Linked DNA regions of Notamacropus eugenii. The protein of the gene in region 1 binds, or shares a complex with, the protein of each later gene. Links are inferred from orthologs where the notes say so. Each region holds a gene or a part of one and is shown on either strand. Other genes may lie near its edges.

Region 1 (7,552 bases):
TCTCTCTCATGGGGTCTATTGGTTCCCTTTCATTGATGCAACTTCCAGTCCAAAGGATCACCTGGGAAAGTAAAGTGGGTGGAGCCTGTTTGTCATCTTTCCCTTCTGAATACGGCATTCTACGACTAATATTTTCCTGCTTTAATTTAAGAAGATTTTTTTCGCAATCAGATAATGAAAAAGAACTCTCACCCTTCCTGGAATTGGAGGCTATGGTTTGTCTAAAGCTCCAGTGTGAGGTGGTTAAGGAATTTTGATTCACGGAGACTCTTGACTCATAGTCTCATGCCCTCTGTACCCGCCCCCATCCCGACTTCACGTGATCTAAAGGACAACAAACCCATGCCAAAGGAGTAGGTTTCAGTGTCCCATTTCCAGCTGCTTCTAATATTAGGATTTCCCGACAGCCTCTGCTCAATATCCTTTTGTGTTCTGTGATGACAGCCATTCCCCTCTCTCCAATTTTTAAGGAGAGCTTATATATTTTTGATGTTTTGTTTTTATAATACATTTCCATATAATTCCCTTCCACATCCAGAAAGTCATCGTTTGTAACAGAATAAGTGAGAACAACGAATGCTTTTCAGCAAAATTAGCCGAACTTTCAACCAAATTGGATATTCTACACAATATCCCGTAGCCATAGTCCCCCACCTTTGCCAGAAAGGAGGGAGAGGTATGTTTTCTTACCTTTATTTTTCCTTTTTTAATAATAGATTTTATTGATATCTTGTTTTTATATCACCTAGATTTTTTTCTAAATCCTGACCCCAATAGGGTCATCCGTCTTAACATGAATTTTTTTTAAACAAGAGAAAAAAAATTAACAAACCAATCGACTAATTGGAAAAAATATGACATTTAAATGCAATACTCCATATGTGCCTATACCTCTGCAAAGGAGTAGGGGAAGGAGGGAAGTTGAGTACAAGACTTTTCTTTATATTTCTGCAAATTTAAGTAACTTTTTCTTTGGAGAGAAGTTTGGTCATCATAATGATATAACATTGAGTTTAGTCCTCCTTTCTCTGGTTGGAGTCATAGTGGATCTACTTATTTCACTTTGCATCAGTTCATGTAAGACTTTCTAGGTGTCTCTTGAGTTCTTACTACTCAACATTTCTTATGTGGTTGTGGATGTATAGCCACTCCCACTTGGTCCAAACCAGCCTGATGCTTGTGCAAGCTTGGCTGTTGTTGCCTGGTGATCTCATGCTTTGAGGGGGGGCTGTGCCCCCCAACCCCATGCAACTGGTCTATCCTCACAAATTCCTCTTCACCTTTGGGCAGAATGAATGTTCCTCAGGATCAAGAAATACTTAGGACACGTTTAGGCCTGTGGTTACCCCTGTAGGCTTGGGTGGAGTGAGAGGGGAGGGTCAGCCTCTTGAAGGGCTGAGGCTGTTAGCCAAGCTCTTTAAGCAGACTCACATGTCAGGGCCCCTTTAGATATCTGGGTGTGCGTTTTGTGATTTCAAAGGCAACGTAGTATAATAGATAAAAAGCTAGCCTTGGAATCAGGAAGATCTGGGTTTAAGTATTGACCCCCATGGGGCAGCTAGCACATAGAGCTCTGGGCCTGGAGTCAGGAAGACAACCTGAGTTCAGACACATCAGCTGTGTGACCCTAGGCATATCACTTCATCTGGTTAGCCTCAGTTTCCTCATCTGTAAAATGAGCTGGAAAAGGAAATGGCAATTCACTCCAGTATCTCTGCCAAGGAAACTCCAAATGGGGTCATGAAAAGTCAGTCACCACTCAACAACCCTGCCTCTAACATATACTGGCAATTTCACTCTGGGCAAGTCACTTAACTCTCAGTTGACCCAGAAAACTTGATAAGACCCTAAAATTGCAAAGTAGTTGTTGAGCTGCCTGGTACAAGAGGAGAGTTTCCCAGTGGGAATTCTTCATAGCAATCAACCAATCAACATGAAGTGCCTTCTAGTGCCAGACACTGTGCCCACTGGGCACACCAATGAAGTAACAGATCAGGTTCAAGGAAATCAAATATAATGTTTAAAAGTTTTCAAAATGTTTTCTCCACTACAACCCCACAAAGTGTTCAGTTCCTGCTTTGTACATGAGGAAATTGAGGGTCAGGTAGACTAAATGAAACAAAAAATCTGAGTACAATAAATATATAGCCCCTATCTGTGAAAGACTATGGTAGGTGCTGGGGAAATACCAAGTTATCTAAGACATGGTTTTTACTCTCAAGGAGTCAAAAGAAGGAAGCAGAGAGATGACTATAGACCACTATTACATGAGAAGCTTATTAGAGATTTTCAAAATAAAGAGCAATAATGAGGGAAGGTATGGTTGCATAGGAGGGGGAATCAGGGAAGGGCTTTCTGGAGGTGGCTTTGAGTTTGGCTTTAAAAGATGGTAGAAAATGACCAGGAGAGGAGCCCCAACTATGACTTTAATCCTAAAATAAAAATCCCTGTGAGAAACTGTCTACCCCAGCATCTCTCTTCCATTTCCCTGAAGTCCTCCTGGTGCCTAAATCATGAAAGTTTCCAGGACCGCTCTTTCAGAAACTAATGGGGAATGAGGCATGAGCTGTTTGCAGACAGGTGGTATGGGTAGCAGGCTGGATTTAAGTCAGATCTAGGTTAGAATTTTGCCAGAGTCAAATGCTATATGACCTTCACTTCCCTGATCCTGCTTACTCATCTGTAAAATAATACTTGGACTACTCACCTACCTCTAAGAATTGTTGTGAGGATGGCACTCAATAACTATTATTATTTCGTTCTAGGTGAGTGGTTTTCTCAGGTAGGGAGTTAGTGAGGGCTAGTGTTAGGAATCCGGGTGCTACCAGACAGGGGTAAAGGTAGCAGGGTGTCCCTTGAAACAGTATTAGGCAATCCATTCCTCGGTAGATCAGTGTCAAAGGAAATTTTCAAAGGAGAGATCCAAGTTATCAACAAGCATATGAAAACATGCTATAAATCACCAATTAAAGTTACAGAAATTAAAGAAGGGGGAGTGTGGGGAGTGGGGCTTGGGTTGGAGTCTACAAGGGCTGAGGAGGGGCTTCCAGGGTACCCGGGGGACGAATTGCTGGGCTTGGAGAGTACCCAAAGTGAAATGGGGGAGGGGGTCAGGAGGGACTGTGTAAGAATCTTACAGCAACAAGACTGAGGGGGGGAACCCGAGACAGCAGCTTAGGGGACTGTACAAGCTACAGAGAGGGGGTGAGAGGAGAGGGAGGGGACCCAATTCAGGGGAAGACCATGGGGCCTGGGAGAGGGGCCGAGGGCTCAGAGAATCCCGGGCGGATGCTAAGAGAGCCAGGAAGGTAGGAGTTTCCCTCGGAGGACGAGCAAGTCAATGACTGGGAGGTCAGAGGGTCCGGAGAGAAAATGCAGGGGCTGGGGTGGGTGCGGAGCAGGGCTAGGAGGCCAGGAGAAACCGTGGGAAGAACATGGGGGTCCTAGGATTTGAGCTGAGGAGCAGGTCACCCGGGGGAAACGACTACAGGGACCTGGAAGGTCAGTGTCCCGGGAGCAGTACCAAAGGGGCAGCTGGGCACAGAGTTCGTAGTGTCCTGAGGATCCGCGAGGAGGGGGTGGAGGGGCGGGTGCTAGGAGAGCTAGGAAGGTCACAGCGTCCCGGGAGCCGCTGGGGATCGAGGGCTTGAGGGGTCTTGGGAGCGTAGTTGGGAGTCCCTAGGCAGCCTAGGGGAGTGGGAGCCCCGGGGTCTAGGGTTCGGGTGCAAGGGGTGGGGGGAAAGCGTCCTAGATTTAGGGCCAAGAGGGTCCCAGGGTCTCAGGAGGGGATTTGGGGTCCCGTACAGACTAGGGCCTGGAAGCCCCAGGTTCCCGGGCGCAGGTCCAAGGCCCTGAGTGTCAGGAGCGTCCCAGGGTCCGGAGCGCAGGTTCAAGGGGGCCCGAGCAGCCGAGGTTGAGGGTCCCAGGAGAAGACTAAGGGGCCCCAAGTATTAGAAAGGTCCCAGGAGGGGAGCTGGGGTCCCGGACATCCTAGGAGAGTGGGAGCCCCCGGGTCCTGGGCGCAGATCTAGGGGCCCCGAGTGTCAGGAGGGTCCCTGGCGCGTATCTAGGGGGCCCGAGTGTCCGAGGCTGAGGGTCCCAGAAGAGGTGCTGGGGTCCTGGACACCTTAGGAGAGTGGGAGCCCCCGGGTCCCAGGCGCAGATCTAGGGGGCCCGAGAGTCGGAGGCTGAAGGTCCCAGGAAAGGAGCTAGGATCACGGACACCTTAGGAGAGTGGGAACCCCCGGGTCCCGGGCGCAGGTCCAAAGGGGCCCCAGTGTCAGGAGGGTCGCCAGGTCCCAGGCGCCCTGGGCCGCGGGTCGGGTCAGGATCCCGGGTCGCGGGTCCGGTCACGGGCAGGCTGGGCGGAGCCGAGCCGCCCCTCTCCTGACATCAGTTCCTGCTGCCCGGCGCGGCTCCTCCCCCGCCGCCGCCGCGGCCACCGCGCCTGCCCTCTCTCCCGGCCCGGCCCGGTCCCACGAGCCGCCTGCGCGGAGCCCCGGGCCCGGGGCGCGGGCGGCGCACGAAGCAGCGCAGGGCGGCGCGGGGCGGCCGCGCGGAGCCGCCACCACGGAGCCCCCGGGCGGCGGCTGGAGGCAGCGGGAGCCGGAGCCGGAGCCGGAGCAGCACCCGGAGCGGTTGGCGGCGGTGGCGGCCCGGCGCGGGAGGAGACGGCGAGGCGGCGGCGGCCCCGGCCCGGGCACTGGCAGCGCCTCCAGCACCATGGAGCCTGGCGAGGTGAAGGACCGCATCCTGGAGAACATCTCTCTGTCAGTGAAGAAGGTAAGGGCGCCTCCCACCCAGCCTTCGAGGCCCCTGCGGGCGGACCCCTCTAAAGCCAGCGTGCGACCCCCTAATCCCAACCCATTCCCCTCTTCCTCGAGCCTTGTGAGCCCGGGTCCTGCCAGGCCTCCCTCCATCCTCCAAGAAGTTCGAGGGGAGCCTAGCCCCACCTCCACCCCCAAACGCTTCTCCTTCCCAATGACATCACCCTGTCCCCTTCAGCCAGCTGGGGCGGGGGGCGGGAGAGGCTGGCTCCGCCCCTGTCCCCCCTTCCCAGCCCCCCACCCCCACCCGGCCTGTGGCCTGGAGGGGAGTAGACTCTCCTGAGCTCCCGAGGTCCTATTGGCCCTTTTGAAAGAGCAAAGCTGAGATCAGCCTCTTCAGAGTGTCGAAATGACAGCCTCAGGGGATGGACGGGTCACCCCCCACCCTCGCCCACCCCCAGGTCTCCTGATCCCTGGCAGCCAGTGGCACCCCTCAACTGGCTCGCTTGGCTTAGTGGGGGTGACTGACAAGATCCTCCTCTGTCTCCTGTCAAGCCCTTCCCAAGCCCAGTCTCATCCCCTGTGTGTGCCCAGTCTTGGGTGACTGCGTCTGGAAGGATTCTTGGTTCCAGTGCCAAGTCAGAGAACCGCCCCCCCCCCCCCCCGCCCCCCTTCTCATCCCACTGCTGGGCTCTGATGGGACTTCCCTAAATTCACCTTGCTGAATTGGCTCAGGGAGGTTCCCCTCTCGGGTGTATTTTAGGACATTTTTTGGAGGAGCACAAGGAGTGACCTGCGGTTGTGATTCATTAGAAAGTACCCTTTTCTGTCCTTTTTTCCTTCTATTTCCAGGTAGAACATTTATGGTCATGGATGATTTGGGGGGATGGAGTAGGTTACGCTGAAATGGGTCTGGGAGGACCAGCCGGTTTTAGTTTGGTAGTGAATGCTCCAGGGTGGTCTTCTTCCAAGGTCTTTCTACATCGACCTCCAGATTTGGTGACAGTTCCAAGAAGTAAGGAAATGAAACTGAAAAAAGGGTTAGTGGAGAAGAAAGAGAACATACACTGACCCTTATTTTCCCAGCCCCAAGTGACCGAAGTGCAGAAACATCTGGCATCTTTGGGCCAGGGAAAATGCCCTGGAGGTAGAGTGGCCGGACCATGGGCACTCATTCTGCCCCTATCACCTCTGTTTCCTCATTTATAAAATGAGGTTGGTTAGACAGAATGGCTCCTGCTAGGTTTGAATCTCTGAGTCTAGGAGGAGGAGTGAACAGCTCTTCCTTCTCTTAGACAGGGTGTGTTCTTCTCTCCACCCTTAAATTGCTTGAAAATTTAACTGGCAAAGATAATTGGGATTTCTTTTCTTAAAAAGCTGATTTCAGAATGAGCCATCAGTACTAATGGTGTTGTCATGTGTCACTTGTAAAAGTATGAGATCTGTTTCTTCATTTGTGAGATGAAGGATGGTTGTGAGGGTATCCAGTGAGATAATCTATGGAAAATGCTTTGCAAAACTTAAAATGCCATAAAAATGCTGGTTGTTTTCATTATTATTTAATCATAATTGCATTATTTATTCATATAAATAATAATATTGATTATTATTGCAGCAGCTAGATGGCACAGTGGATAGAACACTGGGCCTCGAGTCAGGAAGACCTGAGTTCAAATCCTGCCTAAGACATTTACCAGTTGTCTGCCTCAGTTTCCTCAACTGTGAGATGGAGATAATTTTAGCATCCATGTCCCGGGGTTATCGTGAGGATCAAATCAGATAGTATTTGTAAAAGCATTTAGCACAGCGTCTGGCACATAAATAAATGCTTATTTATTTCCCTTCTATGAAGAAGATGATGATGCTTGGCATATAGTAGGCACTATATAAATGTTTATTTCTTTCCCTTATATTATTAGTATTATGCCTGGCACGTAGTAGGTGCTATTAAAATGCTTATTCCCCTTTTATTATCCTTATGAATATTGTGCCTGGTATGAAATAGGTGCTATATATAATGAAAATGGCCCTCTTTAACGTTGTTATAATTATGATCATAATTATCTCACTGGTGAGGTTGGCCTCGTCCTGCTTGTCCTCAGAGGGCAGAACCTGGAGTAGTGGGCTGCCCCCAGGAGGTGAGGTGGGTTCCTTCTCTTTGGCAGTCTTCTAGGAGGGATTGGATGCCCTGTTGTCCAGGAGACTGAGGCAGCCTGTTGTAGCAGAAAGTCCTGGATTTCAAATCAAGAAGACTCTGCTCTCAGGACTCTTGCTGACCCTGTGACCCAGGTGGCAAAGACTCAGTTTCTTTATCTGTAAAATAGGGAACATCACAGCATGGGCCTCACAAGTTTTTCCTACTGGGTGAGGCCCCTCCTGGTGAGCTTAGGGGAGATGTGGGCAAGTGTCCAGTCAGGACGGGCCAGTCTGGATGGAGTGGGGTTTGTACTGTTGGATGGAGGGGTCCAGTTCTACTGACCTGCCCGATCTATTTGAGGGTTCTTATGATGATTGTTTTCTGTAGGTCCAGCTTGAACAAGGTGACCCCTGCATCCTTTCCAACCTGGATATTCCATGTTGTTTTTGGGTTTTTTTGTTTTGTATTACCCGTTTTGTATTTCTAAATGTAATGCCTGGTTTTTATAATGGTACGTGATTTTTGCTTGCCCAGGAAAGGCCGAAGGAACAAAGCACTCTGTTAAAAAGCAATAAATCTTTTGAATAGAAGAGAAGGGTGGACTGCTGACTTTTCTGATCTTATCTGTGCCAGTAGTGGCATCATTCCG
Region 2 (6,853 bases), on another chromosome or scaffold:
CATAATTAGTCATCTCCTTTAAGAAAAAAAAGAACCAGGATTCTAGCATTAATTAAGAATTCATTTCCCTTAGTAGAATATAAATTCCTAGAGGGAAGCACCTGCTTATATCTGTGTAGTTAGTATAGGGGTGTTGAATTGAATGAATGATAGGATAGATTTAGAAAAGGTACTTCATAAATTGTTTAGTTCCAATCCCTTTGTCTTACACATGTGGAAACTTGGGCCTAGATAGGTTGGGTGACTTTCCTAATGTCTCACAGAAATCAAGCCAGGAGTTAAAAACAAAATTTTCTTTGGGGGGGAAGGCAAGTGGAGTTAAATGATTTGCTCAGGGTCACACAGCCAGCAAGTATCTGAGGTTGGATTTGAACTCAGGTCCTCCTGACTTCAGAGTTGGTACTGTATCCACTTCACCACCTAACTGCTCTGGGAGTCCCATGACTCTGAAACTAGAACTCTTCCCATGTACTACCTTTGGAGTACATGCAATAATACCAACAATTACAACAATTATAAAGCCCTTTAAAGTTTGCATGGTCTTTCCATACACTGTTTCATTCTGTCTTGTTCCTTTCTTTTAGGAACAAGGGCAAAGCCTTGGTACTTTGTGCCTTGTACTTTTCCTGAAGGAAAGACAAACTATATGTAAAACTGATTCTCATTTTCCTTAAAACAAATTCTATAGAGTGGTACCTCAAAATTTACTAAGATATTTCAGAAGGGAGTGAGTTCCTGGAATTACCCCAAAGTCTCAGGAGTTCTCCCCTGCAATCTTAATATGATTAATTTCTAAACTCCTGAATCTATCAAGATCTTTTTTTTTTTAGCAGTTCCACAACTTTGTCTGACTTTATTTCTGTGATTCCAACTTGACCAATGTTGAAATAACAGAAAAAAAAGTGACAGTTTTTTTTTTCTCTTTCTCTTTTGTTATAACCTAATCTCCCTCAGAAAGCTTAAAGTGGGAGGCTAGTCCTGCTTACTGGAATTTTTACTTCAAATATGAAAATTCATTCATTTCTCCCAATGTTCTAAACTCCCTGGCTACAGCCCTTATTAGTTTTTCTGGCTGGCTGCATTTTAAATCTTTCAAGGTAACAGAATCTAGCTCCCAACACAAACATTTTACAAACACAGAGACACAGGCACAGACAAAATGACAAGACAGATACAAACAGAACTGGTTCAGTAGAGGCATACAAGTTCCCCCCCTCCCCCACTGCATGCAGTTAGACACAAAGTTGCAATTTTATAGACACACAGAGAGGCCCTAATTTTACAAAGGCATGCAGAGAGGCCAGAGAGACCTGAAACAAATGGGGACACAGGAGGGGCCTTGAAGTTTTTCTCACAAAGAAAGGTGAATTCAATCAAAACTTGAGCCCAGAGGATTGGAGCAGGAACAAAGGTGGCAGATGAGGTGGGGGCGGGGGGAGGAAGTCAAACTCTGGAGAAATCTCTGGAGGCACCTAGTCAACTCCCGTTGGTACCAGAAAGTCCTCTTGGCCTGATTCCATCCAGTCCCACTTCTGACACAAATTAATCTCAACCAAACTGGAGCCTATCTCTAAACGGTGAGTGGTTGGGGCTGAGCAAAGCAGGATAAGGACAGGAGAGTCAGGGATCAAATGGAAGTTTAATTAATTTCAGAGTGAGGAAAATGCTTGCAAGCATAAGTCCACCTTCCTAAGAAGGAAAGCTTAACTTGCTGGGGCAGGGGTAGGGCTTATATACATGAAAACCACAAAGGGTCTGGACTACAACACAATCATTCTTAGGTCTTGAGTAAAATTCTCCCAACAGGCTTTTGGAAAGAGTTCCCAAGTTGATTGCCTCAAGGCTTGATGAGCCTTGAGGTCATTCAGTGGGGTACAAAACCAGAGTTAGCATGGCAGAAATAGGAATGCAGTATCTGCTTCAGTTCACTTGGCAGTTACAAGAAATAAGGATTGTGAGCATGTTAGCAGATGTGATGGAAGGCTTCAGATTGCAGCATGTCACTGGCTTCTGGCTCTCAGGTCCCTAGGAAATAGGGGGAAGCTCCAACAAATCTAAACAGTTACTGATTTACATGAAAATCATAAATCCCTCAGTGAACACCTGGTGTTGGTCAAAGTTGACAGAGGGTGAGATCATCCCTAGTATAAAAGATTGTTGTTATGCCAAGCTCAGGGCACAGCCTGCTCACTGGGCCTTGGCCTTGGGAAGCAGGGTGTCTCCACATATCTTGACAAGATCAATCACATGTTGTTGCCATAGCTCTTTAAAGTTTTCAAAGCATTTTCAAGATAACAACCCTATGAAGCTGAGAGTGCTATTTTGGAGGGGTTGGAATTGTTTTTTTGGTTTTTTTTTGAGTGGGTGGGGAGGAGAAAGGCTGAAGTGTGGAGTCCAGACCTGTGATTTTATCAGTTTCATACTCCTGGTGTGGAAACTCCTTCCCTTGGTACAAATCTGCAATTTTTTTGTAATCAAGCATCTTAGAGAGTTGTCTAGGAAATGGTTACATGTAGTCAGGATTTTTCAAAAGGCAGGACAGGACCTCAGGTCCTTACATGAAGACTTGTCCTCTACTCACTATGCTTTGCTAATTCTCAGTACAAACACAATCATTCCCCATTTTTACAAGGAAACTGAAGTTTTGTGAATTTATATGATTCTCCCATAATTACCTTGCTGGTAGGTAGGAGGGAGAGGTATATAGCCCTATCATTTAAAACCAGGGTAACATCCAGTCCGGTACATTTTAGTGGCAGCTAGGAGGTATAGTGGATAGAGCTTGGGCTCAAGAAGACTCGATTTAAATCCTGACTTAGACACTTATTAGCTGTGTGAGCGACTTTGGGCAAATCACTTAATCTCTTTCAACCTCAGTTTCCTCATCTGCAAGATGTGGATCATAATGGCACATAATGGATGGCTGTGAGAACTAAATGAAATAGTACATAACATAATTATGCAAATAATATATAATTTATAAATAATATATTATTATTTTATTTAATATTAATATACTATATATTACATATAATATATACAAATATAATACATAACTTCATAAATAACAAACGATACAACTTTGCAAACAAATAGTATATCAAATAACTTTGCAAATGATTAATAATACAATTTACAACTGCAAATAACAAATAGCATAACTTCGGGAACCTTAATGAACTCTATAAATACTAGCCTTTTTTTTTAATACTAAGAAAGTGCTGTGGGGAAAAGCACCGTATTGTTGTTTTTTCATTTCTTTGATGGTCTTTTTAAAATTCCATTTCTCCATAATATCTTTTATGAACAAGGAATTACTTGGGGGCACTTTATTTTTTTTCAGTTAAATACATATTTTTTTCTTTCCTTTGTCTTCCCTTCTCCACGCCCCCCCCCCCCCCATTCCCCAGCTCGTCCAGGAAAAAAATCGAAAAAGAAAACATTGTAACAAATATTCCTAGTCACCCTGGCCACACCCACCGGTGCCGCTAGGCAGGAATGCAATTTGCAACAATGTCTCCAAAGTTACTTAAGCGGCCGGCCTGGGACGCTGGCCGCAGGAACAGTCCTGGGCGGTTTTGCTGTCTGGACCTCCGCTGCCTTCTCCTCCTCCATCAGCTTAAGTCAACTGCAAGTCACGTCATCATCTGGATGTCACGGTCCTCTTCGAGAGCGAAGGACAAACACAAAAACACAACAAAAGGGAGCGGGGCAGGAACCAAGCGAGCGACCGCTCTCCCTGGGAGAGTTAGGATGGGATGATTGACAGGAGCTCGCGCTAGGACTCTCTCCGTGGGGCGGGACGGACCCGCAGAACGGCTTTCGGGCCTCCCGGGACGGGGCTGTCCGGCAGGGGGCGCTGTGGGCTCCGAGGCAGGCGCTCGGGCGCAGGCGTGCCGCTCTCTCCGTGCGTGCAGGCCGGCGGGGCGTGGAGGGGAGGCCGAGTCATATGACCGCTCTCTCGGCTTCCTGGCTCCGGCCGCCGCCGCCGCCGCCTCTGCGCGTCTCGCTGTGTGTGTCCCCGTCGGCGTCGCTCCCCGGGGCCGGCCGAGCCGTTGGCGTGGGGGGTCCGTGTCGCTCGCGTGGAAGCTGCCCGCCCCCGCCATCATGCTGGCGCTCATCTCCCGGCTCCTGGACTGGTTCCGCTCGCTCTTCTGGAAGGAGGAGATGGAGCTGACGTTGGTGGGGCTGCAGTACTCGGGCAAGACCACCTTCGTCAATGTCATCGCGGTGAGCGCCCCCCCCCCGGGGGAGGGGGAGGGGCGGACACACGCCAGGCCCCGGCGCCCAGTACTCAGTAGGCGCCTGCTGAATGCGGGTGGGGGCCCCAGCACTCCTGCACGGCCCGGCCCCCGCAGCCCTTTAATCCTCGCCCTCTGCTACTTGATGCCCGGGGTTGCCGTCCTCTCTGGGCCTGTGGGAGTGGGGGAGGGATGCTAGCTCTACTTGGATTAAGCGCCTACTGTGTGCCGTCCAGCTCCCGTGCAAAAGACGCTGCCCGCCGTCTAATGGGGAGGGGGCCGGGGCCGGTGCGAGCATCCTTGCACTAGCAGAACGCGGTGTATAGACGAGATCGAGACTGTAAATTGGAGTAATTAGCAGAGGGAGGGCACTAGCTTAAAGGGGGGGGGGGGAGTCGAGACATGCTCCTCGTAATAAAGGGGGGGTTTTAGCAGAACTTGAAGGGAGCCCGGAGTCCGAGATGAGGAGGGAGAGGATGGCAGTAAGAACGCTGGGTCAGTAAAGGCAGAGGTTTAAAGGTCTCCGCTTTCGTGGAAATTGGAAGATAAAAAAGTCTGCTGTAGGAAAAAAGATTGCTGAAGGAAGAGGGTGTGGGACCTGGGGGAGGAGGGAGCGTAGGTGGAGCCTGCTCATCCCTGGGTGGCCTCCCACTGCTCGGGTGGGTACCTCCAGGAGCAGCCTCTGGGAGGTAGTTACCTCTGAGCCGTCGTGTGTAGGAACGGAAGAATGCTGATTGTGAAGTTGATGATTTGGGGGTGGGGGGAAGGCAGAGGAATGAATGTTGGGCCCAGAAGTTGGGGTCATTGGATCCTAAGGGCCAGGTGCTTGAGCTTTGGGAGATTCTTGAAGGAAACAGTAGTAGACCTGGCACTTCTCAGCCGGCTTTAGAAATCGCCATTTGACAGGACGCAAGCTGCCCAACTGGTTTGGCAACAACAATGATTCAGTAGTTCCTCTCCTAGGTTGAAGAAGCTAGGTAACCTGTGACTCTTAATCATTCCTGTTGCCGGATTACTGCAAAGACTAACCCTTGGGGAATTCAGCAGCTAGCTGAAATTAAAGCATAGCCTTTCAGTATATGAAGGCAGTTCTTAGAACCCAAGAATTCGAGTTCCTTTGAGGGAATTACTATTGCCAGCAGGAGTAATGGTCACATTTTTTTAAAAGCTCATTTTATAGTGATAACAGTTACTTTTAAAATTTGAAATAATCATCGCTGTTTATTGTACACGTATATCTGTGTCTATATTGTACATACATATCTGTGTATTAATGCCATTCTATATCTATATATCTATATCTTGATGCCATTCAAATGAGTAAAGAGGAATAAACATTTAGGTTATTTAGAAGACTAATAGTTGCACAAAATTTAAGTGTGATGTAAAAAAAAAGATGAAGCTTTAGGCCAGCTGAAAATAGATTAATCCTTTTTTGGCTCTTTTGATCATCCTAACTTTGTTTCGATTGTAACAGATGAAAATTGGAGTTTACTTTGTAACCCTTTGCAGAAAGGCCTATTACTCATGTGGTACTTTTTTTGCCAAAGAAACAACAGCTAACTTTTGAAAGTCTTAAGAAAGCTTCTTATATCTCTGAAGATTTTTTTTTCTTTATGAATGCTGGTGATATTCTGTATAGGCATTTCATACAAAAGCAAGGCAATTTTAGAAAAAATATCCAGGGAATCGCTCCTTTTTCAGTTCTCAGTTGACTTTTTTTTTTTTTAGCCGATTGGTTGACCCTTAATGGTATCCTGTACTTTGATAGAAGAGCATTTTATAATATTTCAAAATCTCTTGAATGAGGTTGGAATTCTCCAAATAAAATTAATCAGTCGAATGCTTTCAGTGTTATACTATATAGTCTTTGGATACTATTGATATACAGTGTTCTGAGATAAAATGTGGCCTGTAACTTTAGCTCATACTAAAATTTTTTCTTTAAACAAGGAGACCTTATTAAACTTCATGTAAAGCATGAAACTTAATATCAAAAATTAATTTTAGAACTTTTATTTCAAAGGACAATTTCATATTAAAACAATTTATTTACTCTTTCAGACATATAAAAATAACTTTAGGAATCTATGTATGTTCTGTGATTTTTAATAAGTTGAATTTTTAGACTTTAGACTTAAATACAGATGTTTAGACCATAGTATGTCTTTAGTGAAAATTGAATGTTTAGTCTAATCCATCAATCCTGTATTAATTACTTGCTACTCACAAGACTTAAATGCTTTAGTTGAAGCTAATTATCATTTTGGAGTCATTAAACTTCCAGATCAACTTTTAGTTCAATAAAAATAATGTTGCTTTAATTGGTAATCCTTTAAATAAAATTATTTTTTTTTTTTGATAAAGGTGAAATGTTTATAAGCCTTATTATTGATTGTAAAGGCAGGGCATTAATATAGTTAGAGCAGAGTTTCTTAACTTTTTTTGTGTGTCATGGACCCCTTGGGTAGTTTGATGGAGCCTAGGGGATCCCTCCTCAGAGTTAGGTTTTTAAATGTGTAAAATAAAACACATAGGATTGCAAAGGGAAACAATTTGCATTGAAATACGTTTACTTAAAAAAAAACAAAAATAAGAAGTTAGACCTTAGG

The links. Proteins that work in one complex are often made in the same cells at the same time.
Region 2: the proteins of PLEKHM2 (region 1) and ARL8B are in contact, whole or in part, in a crystal structure (PDB 8JCA), measured with the Homo sapiens proteins. The link is inferred for Notamacropus eugenii from reciprocal best matches to the Homo sapiens genes PLEKHM2 and ARL8B. Residues at the interface, in NP_055979.2 of Homo sapiens: His70, Phe71, Thr72, Arg73, Arg74, Glu75, Glu103, Ser105, Glu107, Ser108, Tyr109, Arg111, Leu112, Glu115, Glu147, Phe148; in NP_060654.1 of Homo sapiens: Glu22, Thr52, Val53, Gly54, Phe55, Asn56, Met57, Lys68, Trp70, Arg77, Phe78, Arg84, Tyr85, Arg87, Gly88, Val89.

What each region holds. Positions count from the first base shown.
Region 1 is NC_092876.1:55,088,920-55,096,471, forward strand, and holds the start of PLEKHM2 (pleckstrin homology domain-containing family M member 2), read left to right. Parts: upstream 1-4,551; 5' UTR 4,552-4,722; coding exon 4,723-4,782; intron 4,783-7,552. UniProt on the Homo sapiens protein: Plays a role in lysosomes movement and localization at the cell periphery acting as an effector of ARL8B.
Region 2 is NC_092874.1:440,877,769-440,884,621, reverse strand, and holds the start of ARL8B (ADP-ribosylation factor-like protein 8B), read left to right. Parts: upstream 1-3,853; 5' UTR 3,854-4,107; coding exon 4,108-4,230; intron 4,231-6,853. UniProt on the Homo sapiens protein: Small GTPase which cycles between active GTP-bound and inactive GDP-bound states.